3 linked regions of the Coturnix japonica genome follow. The protein of the gene in region 2 purifies or fractionates together with the protein of the main gene of each other region. This does not show direct contact. Links are inferred from orthologs where the notes say so. Each region holds a gene or a part of one and is shown on either strand. Other genes may lie near its edges.

Region 1 (3,500 bases), on a different chromosome or scaffold from region 2:
CATTACTCTTTCATGAAGGGACGCATCTTGTGCTGAAACAGTTCCTCTTCTTAATGGAGCTTCAGACTGAAAATTCCTTATGAATTCCATGGTATCCTGGGGATGAGGGAGAAATAAGATGAAGCACCAAGTGTGATCCTTTTCAACCAATGAATCATCATAAACTATACGGATAAGGATGGTCATCTTTGTTTGACTTAAGCCTTGTAACAGTAAGCAGGGCAACATTCAAATGTGTTCACAGGACAGACATGCCTAAATTCTTCTCAACGCAGAAGATACATTATTTCATGACAGGAGACAAAAAGAGAAGAAAAAAGAAAAACCAAAACAGGAGTAGAAGCTGCATAATGTAAAAATGAGGATCTTACTCTCACAGTCTGCTTGAGATGTTTCAGCTTCTCTGTCTGTAGAAGCCGACGCGTAAGAAACCCCTTTGCCACAGCAGTTACCTTATCAAACTTCATTTGTATCTCTGGAGTGAAAATCTTAAAAGAAAATAAGCATTTTCTAACCACTGAATAAACAAAGCAGAAGAGCTATTTAATAAATATCTTTAATTAAGTTGCTGATATTTCTTACATCACGTGATTCAAGTCTTGAAGTAAGAAACAACTACTGATAAGAAGTAATACATATTTTGCTTTTTCCACAAGAAAAATACACTATAAAGTTCTGCCATGTAATCTAAGTTGATATAGGAAGGGACACTGAACTTTCCTGTGAGATTTCCTACTGCACAGCTACTAGAAAGTTACCAGAATCTTACAAAAACAGAAGGTCTTTTTAAGCTATATCTTATTTTCCCATACCTGGGTCCACCTGGTTTTGATCCTGTTACTTGGCCTAGACACTGAGGTTTTAATAACTCCACTGCCTGATGGTCCCCAGAGGAAGAATGAAGTTTCACTTGTTGAAGTAAAGGTGTTGGGTGACGTAGAATGAGCAAAACCTGCACACACAGCAGAACACGCAATTTATAATACAGCTATTGCCTTATGGCTCAAAATCTATGTGTGCAAGTACACACACGGTCATTACGCTTGTTTAAGAGCTCTCTACAAAATAACAAAAGCAAACAAACAAACAAAATCAAGCACATTAACTTAGGCTGCAGTCAGGAAGTCAACCTCGCATTCAGAAATGGAGAGAATTCCAGTTCTTACATTTTATACAATAGTACTTATGTACTGGGAGAAAAAATACCCACCTACAGCATGAAAAAAAATCACTTGTTTAATATTAAAGTTGCTCTACAAAAATCTCATCCATAAAGCATCTCAAAGAAAGTGCTTCTGAAGCGTTTGATGCTGCCAACGTAGATCCCTAGAGATGAGTCATAAATAATCAAAACCACATAGCTTAGCAGTCTTACTCTCAAAGATCCTCTGCTCCTCACCTGCTAAAACACCAATTTTCCATTTGTGCTTGATGAGGAATAGAAGTTAAAACAGGCAAGAGAGAACTCTGCTCAGAGGGAGCAATGCTGTTTGTACAAAGTCAACAGCAGGAAAGAAGCAATCTGAATATTTAATTCATTTCTACTCAAAATTAGGTGAGCCAATGGGAAAAAAAACAACACATTTTGAATTTTATTGAACAGGTGAGAGGTGACCCATGACTGCAGCACCATCATTACCAGCACAACAGGGCAGCTGCTACAGTCAATACTGCAGAGCAAAATATACCACATTTAATCTGTATCTGACCCTCAGTTTAATTTTAGCAGTCAGTTTTTACCAATGCTTGTAGAGTTTGCATTATGGATTGTCTCCAGCTGAGATTGCACACTTTCTACTAAGCCGCTTTCACTTTTTCTCCACTCCAACTCCATCCTACTGTTAATATTCACTTTGGATATTTCTATTTCTGTTGTAGCGATCTTCTTTCCCTTCCTCTCCTGTTCCTCCAGTTCCTATGAAAGAAAAAATCAGCTGTAAGACTTGTTTTCTGTCTGCAACACAACAAAATGTATATTTCAAAACCATCTGCATCCTGACAAACACACAGGACTTCAGCTCAGACTTTCTCCTCTTTCTGCTTTACCTTCTGCAGTTTCTCCTGCTCCCGCTCTTGTTCTGCTATCAGAATTGACAGCTGTTGTGCATGCTGTTCTTCGAGTCTCTTCCTCATTTCCTCAAAGGCCAACATTTTAGTCTTTAAAATCTCTTCTGAGAAGACACATGCATTACAAAGAATGAAGCATTAAATATTTTCTATGTGATCTTTTGTCACAGATATATTTGCTTCAAAAGAGAAATTTCCATCTTCAATAAAAAGCACATTTTTTATATCAAGTTGCCATTATGCATCGCAAAGAAGCCTTTCAGTTACAACAGTCCTTCAGAATATTTGCACGTTCCTCTTTGTGGGATTAGTATGTGGATGGAACAGCAGTAACACCAATGGAGACTGTATTAGAATAAGGATGTAAAACATCTGGATCTGGGAACACAATACCCACACTTGCTGAGTAAACTAAAATTATTAATGTCACTTTGGTTTAACTTGATAAGACACAAATGTAACACAGTCTTGAAATGACAAAAGCACCTATATAGTCATTTGCAACCTTGCTGCTGAAAGGTGTTCTCTTTTAATTCATTTTAGTAGTCTTACTTAAATCTAAGAGAACAAGAAATTATATTAGTAAAACTAAGTTCAAACTTCTACATTCAAATGAGAACGTGTTGGGTTTTTGTTTTTGCCTAAAGTGATATCCCTGAGAATAAACAGAGAATCCACAAAACTGAGAAACGTTTCATCTGATGCTTCTTCATAAAGTATTTAATGAAGGATTTGTTACAGAGGGCTGTAAGACTTCTTTCCATGAGTGAATTGTAAACGAGCAACTAGCCCGTTGTGCAGCCATTAAGCACAGCTCAGGTAGCAGCTGAAATTCAGAATTGGTCATTAATTAAAAATTAGATGAGATTACTGAAAAAAAGAGAACTGCCAGAATAACACTTCTGCCTTTTGATAGATATGTACTTAGAATCACCAACAATTATAATTTTTAATCTTACAATAAATTATAATATTAAAAGCTGCATTAATTTTAATAAGATTGATTAGAATATTTAAAAAATCATTTTTCCCTAGAAGATTCTCTAAACCGAGAAGTTTAGAAAACAAACACTGGAAATCTTTTACCTTTTGCCATATTTGAATCAGGGGCTGCATTCTTGGTAATGTAAACTGATGCCATGGGACATTTCTGCTCTTGCAGCCATTGCTTCTCCTGTTCCTCCATTCCAACAGTTACAGCGCAGGGGTTGCTGTCTTTCTGGCAGTTGTCAGTGTCCAAATCAAGTCTACGTTTTACCTTTTCAAAGCTGTTCTCTAGAATCTGTTCGTTTGCTGGGGGAACACTTGGATCCATCTGCTGGCGCATACTCTTGCTCTGCATCAGTAGTGGGGACGGGCTTTCTACATCATAAGATTTATTGAGTTCTACTGGAGATTTAGTATTTTCTTGCAAACTGGATGCTTTGGTCTCA
Region 2 (4,012 bases):
AACGGGGGCGGTACGAAGTGAAGTTATAATATTTCCATGCAGCAACAAGGTCTATAAAATAGAAATATGGTGATAAAGATGCATGTTTGAACAACAATGACAACAACAGAAGTTTACTAAAAACTATTTTCCAAAAGTATTCCAGGGAGGGAAAACTGAATTTTACATCTTAAAGCAAACTGTTACTATTAGGAAATACAGAACTGATGCTTAGCTGCATTCACAAGTATATTTGAAACATTATCTCTGTGTATGTGATAAAAAGACTTAACACTGTGCTTTCCCTTGATTCATAACCCACTAAGAGAAACAAGTGCTGTCTTACAGCATCACCTTAATCAAAATCACTAGCGACTGCAGAAGAATCACTGGCCCAGTTGGTGCAACTTGAAAGCAACAAAATACCCCTTTCATTCCTCCTTCTAAAAGTCACAGGGATTAATTAGAATGCTTTAAAATCTAGCATCTGAATAATTAATGTTTTAAAAGGTTACAATTTTCTAAACAAAAATGCTCAATGCAAAGAATATAAGAACAGACAAAAGTGCATCTACCTTCAGAGACGTAAGTTTTGAGAGATCTCCTAGCTGAGATATGTTGTTGTCTGACAGATCAAGGTGCTGAAGAGATGCACAGGAATTCATTTGCTCAATGGCCTATAAAAATAAAGGAGTCAATTTCAATATTTTTTTAGTCATTAAATCAAAAGAGGTGTCAATCATTGAAAACAACTTGGGAAGCTAACAGCACTGCATAACAAGGCCTACATTAAAATCATGTATTAAAAATTATTTTAATACCTGATATAACTACCTGATATCAGACACTTTAAAATTAAAGATAACTATTCTTTTCCTGTTTTGTTGGCTACCTCCCAGTTCTTATTACAAGTTGGTGTCAAGCCAAGATCTATTTTTCCCCAAGCCAATTCTTGTCCAAAAGTTGCCCTCTTTCATTTCATTACACTAGTGGACAGGAAGGTTTGACATTTATTCCCATTAAAACCAGAAACAAAAATTCAGTCTTCTATGCAGTAGAACAGAATGAAACATCGTAAAGATCATCTTCACTGTGTTTTCCAAGTTTCTACTATGGTAGATTCTGGAAAGATACATAAAACTCTATGTACTTTACCTTAAGATTATTTCCTGCCAAGTTGAGCCATTCCAGGTGTACCAACTCCTTCAGCCCTTCCACATACCCAATACTATTATGAGGCAAGTTTAGCACACGGAGCTGAGTCAGTTTTGCTACACCCATCATTCGTACCAAGCGATTGTTGGCTACAGACAACTGCAGATGGACACACAAGTTAAAGAAACAGATTCAATGATTAAACTCTACTGATAGTATAGGCTGTCTGTCAAGCTAAAAGTCCAATCCAACAGGAACTACTTCTTTGTAGATGTTCAATTTTTAAGCAAATACTACAGACCCAAAAAACTGCAAGTGACAAGAAATGAATAAATCATCAAAGAAAGTAGATTTCCACTAAGTCTGTAGAACTGTGAAGACTTTCTCATATCAACAGCTAATAAAGGAGGGGATTAAACGAGGAATTGCATCGTATGAAAATAAGCTTTTAAAATCAATATTGCCAAATCACTTTACAAACGTTTGCAACATTCCTGGTGTAAAACCATATTTTAACCCTCATGTACCATATATTTAACCCTCATGTACCTAAATGAAACGTTTCAAAGTTAAGTATATTAAAGCTAAGCACTAGCAACATCAGAGCCTACATAACTCAGTGTGTTAACAAGAACCATGCAATTGCTCAGGTTTAAAAGGACCTTAAAGATCATCAAGTCCAACCACAACCTACCCATAGTACCCTAACAACCCTCTGCTAAATCACATCCCTGAGCACCACATCCAAATGGCTTCTAAACACATTCAGAGATGGTGGCTCAACCACCACCTTGGGGAGCCTATTCCAGTGCTTAACTACCCTTTCTGTAAGGAAGTTCTTCCTGATATTCCTGATATCCAACCATTAGGTTCCAGCAAATACAACTCAAGTCCCACTGACCTGCATCAGATTCCTGCATTTCTCCAAATGTTCCAATTTAATTATCTGGTTTTTGTCCAGAATCAGAGTGTGAGTATCAGGATCACAGGGTAAGGTCGGACCCAGCTTCTGCAATCCTTGACCTGACCAGTTAACTACCAAACCTTAGAATAAGAAAAACATAAGACAGAAAGCAATCAGTTATTAGAAGATAATAGGTAATAGGTAATAGCCTGGTGCGGGTTGGAAGGGACCTTAAAGATCATCGAGTCCAACCCCCGGGATTCGAGCCTCTGTGTAGCAGAGCGGCACTTCTACCACTTGCGCCACAGGGGGGATTCGAACCCGGGGCTCGGTGTTGCAAGCGGCACTTGTACCACTGCGCCACCGGGGCACAGTGTAGATGTAGCTACCAGTCCCTGTTTAAATTCTGGCACCCGATTAAAGCGTTCCACCAGACACCAATATAAAGGGATGAGGAAATCACTCCTGACTGTCCGTGTACCCGGCGCCCATCCCGACTCCATCTCCCATCACACCCCACGCGCTGCCGTCTCTCGGCGCCGCACAACGGCGCCCCAACGAGCCTCCAGCCGCCGGCTCCATCCCGCCCCCCGCGCCGTGACCCCGCGGCGGTGCCCTCACCCCCCGCAGCCGACGAGCCGGGCTCGTTCCGCTCCTCCGCTCCGGTAGCTGCCATGCTTCTCTCCTACCGACGCCGCCAGGCAACCGGACGCTGGGCGCCGATTGGCTGCCTCGCCGCTCGCCGAGAAAATTCCCGTTGTTCCGAAGATTAATTGATCTCCCCGTACAGCGACCGCCCCCCGCAGCCAGCGAAACCCAACGGGACGCAGCGGCAGCCGGCAGAGGATCCCACACCGACCCCCGCTCTGCGGCCCGACCCTCCCGCCGGGTCCCGCAGGGGCGGAGCGCTCCCGGCACACCGCGCGCCGCCGGGGCCACGCCCCCTTCCGGCCGGCTCCCCTCCTCTTCGGCCCGCCCGCCGCCATCATGAAGTGAGTGGGGCTGCGGCCTTGGCTGCTCTATCCGCATCCATCCCCCGCGGGGAGGCCGAGCGATGGCTGAGGAACACTTGGCCGTCGGTCTGCGCCATCTGCTAACTTGTGTCTTTCTCGTAGGGTCGAGCTGTGCAGCTTCAGCGGGTACAAGATCTACCCGGGCCACGGCCGCCGCTACGCCCGCACGGATGGCAAGGTGAGGCCGGAGCAGCGGGGGGAGCGAGGCCGAGCCGAGTAGGGACCGGGTGCTGAGTGGATCGTTGGGATCTGGTTTCCTTATCTTAGAGATACGATGTTTGTGTCTATAAAGACACTCTGGTTCTTGTCGCTGGTACAGGCTGTGTGTGCCCCATCTTTGCAGGCATTCAAGGCCAGGCTGGATGGGCAGCCCGAGCTGCTGAGTGGCAGCTTTGCCCACAATAGAGGCTGGAACTGGCTTTGAGGTCCTTTCCAACCCAACCATCTTGCAAGTCTTTCTAGTTCCAGTGCTGTGGTCTTGCTGTGCAGCATGTCTTATGGCAGCTAAACAGCTGGACCGAGTGATTCTTGAGGTGATCTCCTTAGAAACTGAAGAATTTCAACCTGACTAGCTAGTAGCAAATCAGGCCCTTAATACTGCCTTCAGTTTCCTCTAGTCAAGAAGGTGTTGAGCAGTTCTAGTCTCTCAAGTGTTGCTTATATCCTCTCATGACCCACACGTACAGAAGGTGCTTACACGAGAGTGGGGTTGGTCTCTTCTCACTGGTGACAGGATAAACACTGAATCAAATAATTACTTGATATGCTGATATAAAGTGTGACAGTGTCATTCATAGAAACGAAGCTTACACAAATACTTTATTGCCTTCTCAGGTTTTCCAGTTCTTGAATGCAAAATGTGAGTCTGCATTCCTTTCCAAGAGAAACCCCCGTCAAATCAACTGGACTGTTCTGTACAGGCGTAAGCACAAGAAAGGACAGTCAGTAAGTATAAAGCAAT
Region 3 (3,500 bases), about 72 Mb from region 2:
CAACACAAAATCCAAACATTTCTTGAACACTCCCATGGTCGGTGACTCCACCACCTCCATGGGCAGTGCATTCCAATGCCTGACTACCCTTTCCGAGAAGTAATACTTCCTAATGTCCAGCCTGAATCTCCCCTGGTGCAGCTTAAAACCATTCCCTCTAGTTCTATCTCTCAATATATATATGTTCTGTATAAGGGATGGTCAAGCTAGCACAGACTTGCAGGATGTGATTTCCATTTTAGTTTTTGCCACAGTCTTGATTTCATTAAACGAAGGTCTGTATCCTTTTCTTGTAAGGAAAGCAAAGCAATGCAAAGGTTGTTCTTGCTGTTAATGGGAGCATGTTTTATATTGTATCTTTGCACAAGTTGGTTGTTGAAGTTGATAGCACAAAGAAAGCCTAATTAAAAATAGAGTGTCACTAAGGCTGCAAATGAAAGGTAAAGCTGGTATGTTTTTAACTTTGTACCATTGAGACTGGCATGAATGCAGAATGTCTGGAGTCAGTGAAGAAAAGTGAAATAAAAGTCGTGTTGGGTTCACTTTTTTCTGACCATGCATCTCTTTTTGTCTCTTTTTTTCCCTGCAGGCTCACAGACAGAAGCGGTAAGGTGTTTTCCTTAATATTGTCTTGAATCATGTCTCAAACATGCTTGTAGAATTCAGTGCCTCCTTACAGCTTGAGGACTTAGGAATGACATTCAAGTCTGGAAATTACTGTGCGCTCATTCAGGTTTTAACTTGCAGTCTGTGGTACCAGACTCATATCAGCTCATCTTGTCAACTCACGGCCGCTCGAAGATGTTTTCTCTGGTGGCTCACATGTGGGTTTTGCAGACTTTTTTCAGCTGTAACTCAGACAAGTATATTTCCTTTTCTAATTGGAAATCTTCAAAAGAAATGTCAAAATTGACTTTTTGAAGCCAAAATACTCTTTGTGCCTTTTATATATATATATATATACTAAGATATACATATCTTAGTAATAGGATAGAGGGAGAAAATGTACAGAAAATAAGGTGGGTGTATATAAAGACATACGATTTGAAGGGTTTTTATGTTTTAAAACTCTGCTGTTCGTTCTCAGACCTATTTCAGGTTTCCTTTGTGACTCACAGATGAGCAACACGGCTGCTGTGTGTCTTTCAGGTGTTCTTCTTAGCCAGGAAGGAAAGAAATTAAAGCTGATCTAGTTGTTATCTTTCAAACGTGTGGCCTGTGTATTGTAAGAGACACTGAGCGTGTGCGTTGTCAGTCTGTAAATGGTAACTTTTAAAGTCTGTCACAAACGTAGAGTGAAGAATTTCTTCTTTCTTTCATAAGTTAATGCACATACAGAAGAAATGTGATCAGTATGAGAGTGATCTGTATCCTTGTTCTTATATATGTCAAATACACTGATGCAACTTTCTTTCCAATGCAATATGCTTCGTCTAGAATACACAACAGCAACCTCTGTCATCCAAGATCAAGTAAGTTGACTTCAGTATTGCTGTGAGAACTAAAATAACTGTCTCACCTGTTCTTTGCTGACCTGGGCATTGGAGATACAAGATAATGACTGTAAAAATTCTGTAGATTGCCACTTTGTGACGTTTCTGAGTGAGTTGTTCCTCAAACAGTGTCACTGACTTTGTTCTTGCTGGGTGGGTGTGGAATGGAGTAGACATTCTAGCTTCTGTTTTCTGGTTTATGAGCTTAATTCAAAGACTTGTTCATAGTGCCTAATGTAGGTAATGATTTTGGGATGCTTTTAAGATCCTGAAGTAAAAACGTGCTATTTAATTTATTGAAGGCAGGCTATAACATGAATTGGTTAAGGTGATCCAATTTTCATAAATTCATTGATTAATCATTTTTCTATTCAAATTTGTAACTGCTCTGTGGAAGGGTGCTGTTCTACCCCTTGCTTTGAACTATGCAATGCAGCGTTCCTGCTTTCATGTTGTGTGGGGGATTGTGGGTTGTGGTTGTTGGGTTTCTTTAGCTTGTTTTTAAACATCTCCTTAGAGGCAATTCTTTCTTCTTTTTTTTTTAAAGGTATGACTGGTACCAAACAGAATCTCAAGTAATTGTGACTATCATGATCAAGAATGCGCAGAAGGATGGTGTCAGAGTGCAGTTCTCAGAGAAAGAGGTGATTTATGCTATCGATAAGCATCTCTAGATTCCATGAGATGTAGTTCTACCAAATGATGCTCACTTCTATTAAAAGCATGAAGAAATGCTAGAAGCTGACTTCAGTTTGAGCATCTTTACATACAGTTATGCAGTAGCTACATGTATGCAGAATCAAGTGGATTAGTTGCTATTGCTACAGTGAGGTCTATAGGACTTACTCACAACATGCAGTGTGGCATACATGCAGCAGAGGGAGCATCTGCTTTTCAGCTGCTTAGTTGGAGGAAGTGATCTGAAGCTCAAGTGTTTGATTGTATCTCTGTCTGTTCATACTCCAGATGCATGAGAGGTACTCTCAATGTAGTTATAAATTAAGTTCTTTACTGGGAGAGTGGTTAGGTCCTGGAACAGGCTGCCCAGGGAGGTTGTGGATGCCCCATCCTTGGAGGGTGTTCAAGGCCAGGTTGGATGGGGCCCTGGGCAGCCTGGTCTAGTAAGTGTGGAAGTTTGGTGGCCCTGCCAGGCAGGGGGGTTGGAACTACATGATCCTTGAGGTCCCTTCCAACCTGGGCCATTCTGTGATTCTGTAAATAATTTTAGGATGGTAACAGAAAAACAATGTGTTGGTGGGTTCATATATATTGTATCTCTAAAACTGTCAGTTGTAGCAAAGCATACATTTCACGGAAGGGTGGTAATCTGTGTAGTGCCATACTCAGTACAGTGACATTTGTGCTTAATTAAGGGTAAACACTGAGGAGTTCAGTTCTTATTCTCAGCTAAGTTGGTGCTTGGTGAACTGCAAAGTACTGTGGTCTTTAATGTATGGCAAGTGCTCACACAGTTTTCACATTGCTTGCATGAATTAGAAGGGAAGTTGCAAATTGTTTTCGTGTTCCATTATTAATACGTTGCTGCTTCGTTTGCTATAATTCTTTCCTTAAAGAATGCAGATCAAGCTGACAGGATAATTGGCTTTTTAAGTACTTGCTGGCTAAAAAAGACATAGGAGATTTCAGTTCTGTAGTGTACTTTCAGACACCTTGTCGAATAACGCAGTAATGTAGTGCTGTTGTGTGGAATTTTGATGTGTGATGTTTTAAGTACCCTAGTAAAGGATCATTAATCACTTCGTCTTGATGTCAGATGACAATTCTTTACTCCAAAATGAATAACTGCTCTCAAAGATGACAGAAATGTGTTTTCAACTGTTAACAGATGAACGCATCAGTGAGGCTCCCCTCAGGTGAAGACTACAACCTAAAGCTTGATCTTCTTCATTCTATAGTGCCAGAGCAAAGTACGTTTAAAGTGCTTTCAACGAAGGTAAGCTCTTAATGTAAATTATTTATGCTTCTGCTCTAAGTCTCATTGCAAGA

The links.
Region 1: the proteins of CEP97 (region 2) and CCP110 purify together in Homo sapiens (co-immunoprecipitation; 10 studies listed by BioGRID and IntAct, with this or other methods). This does not show direct contact. The link is inferred for Coturnix japonica from reciprocal best matches to the Homo sapiens genes CEP97 and CCP110.
Region 3: the proteins of CEP97 (region 2) and SUGT1 purify together in Homo sapiens (affinity purification with mass spectrometry; 3 studies listed by BioGRID and IntAct, with this or other methods). This does not show direct contact. The link is inferred for Coturnix japonica from reciprocal best matches to the Homo sapiens genes CEP97 and SUGT1.

Annotation. Positions count from the first base shown.
Region 1 is NC_029529.1:8,227,008-8,230,507, reverse strand, and holds part of CCP110 (centriolar coiled-coil protein of 110 kDa), read right to left. Parts: coding exon 3,154-3,500; intron 2,172-3,153; coding exon 2,047-2,171; intron 1,916-2,046; coding exon 1,741-1,915; intron 953-1,740; coding exon 813-952; intron 489-812; coding exon 372-488; intron 97-371; coding exon 1-96.
Region 2 is NC_029516.1:76,474,905-76,478,916, reverse strand, and holds the start of CEP97 (centrosomal protein of 97 kDa), read right to left. Parts: upstream 2,801-4,012; 5' UTR 2,715-2,800; coding exon 2,660-2,714; intron 2,557-2,659; exon of another isoform or gene 2,428-2,556; intron 2,179-2,427; coding exon 2,036-2,178; intron 1,294-2,035; coding exon 1,135-1,293; intron 657-1,134; coding exon 555-656; intron 52-554; coding exon 1-51. Other genes in the region: RPL24 (60S ribosomal protein L24), read left to right, coding at 3,026-3,030, 3,154-3,229, 3,886-3,996. UniProt on the Homo sapiens protein: Acts as a key negative regulator of ciliogenesis in collaboration with CCP110 by capping the mother centriole thereby preventing cilia formation. Required for recruitment of CCP110 to the centrosome.
Region 3 is NC_029516.1:148,374,596-148,378,095, reverse strand, and holds part of SUGT1 (protein SGT1 homolog), read left to right. Parts: intron 1-589; coding exon 590-606; intron 607-1,437; coding exon 1,438-1,472; intron 1,473-2,040; coding exon 2,041-2,137; intron 2,138-3,339; coding exon 3,340-3,447; intron 3,448-3,500. UniProt on the Homo sapiens protein: May play a role in ubiquitination and subsequent proteasomal degradation of target proteins.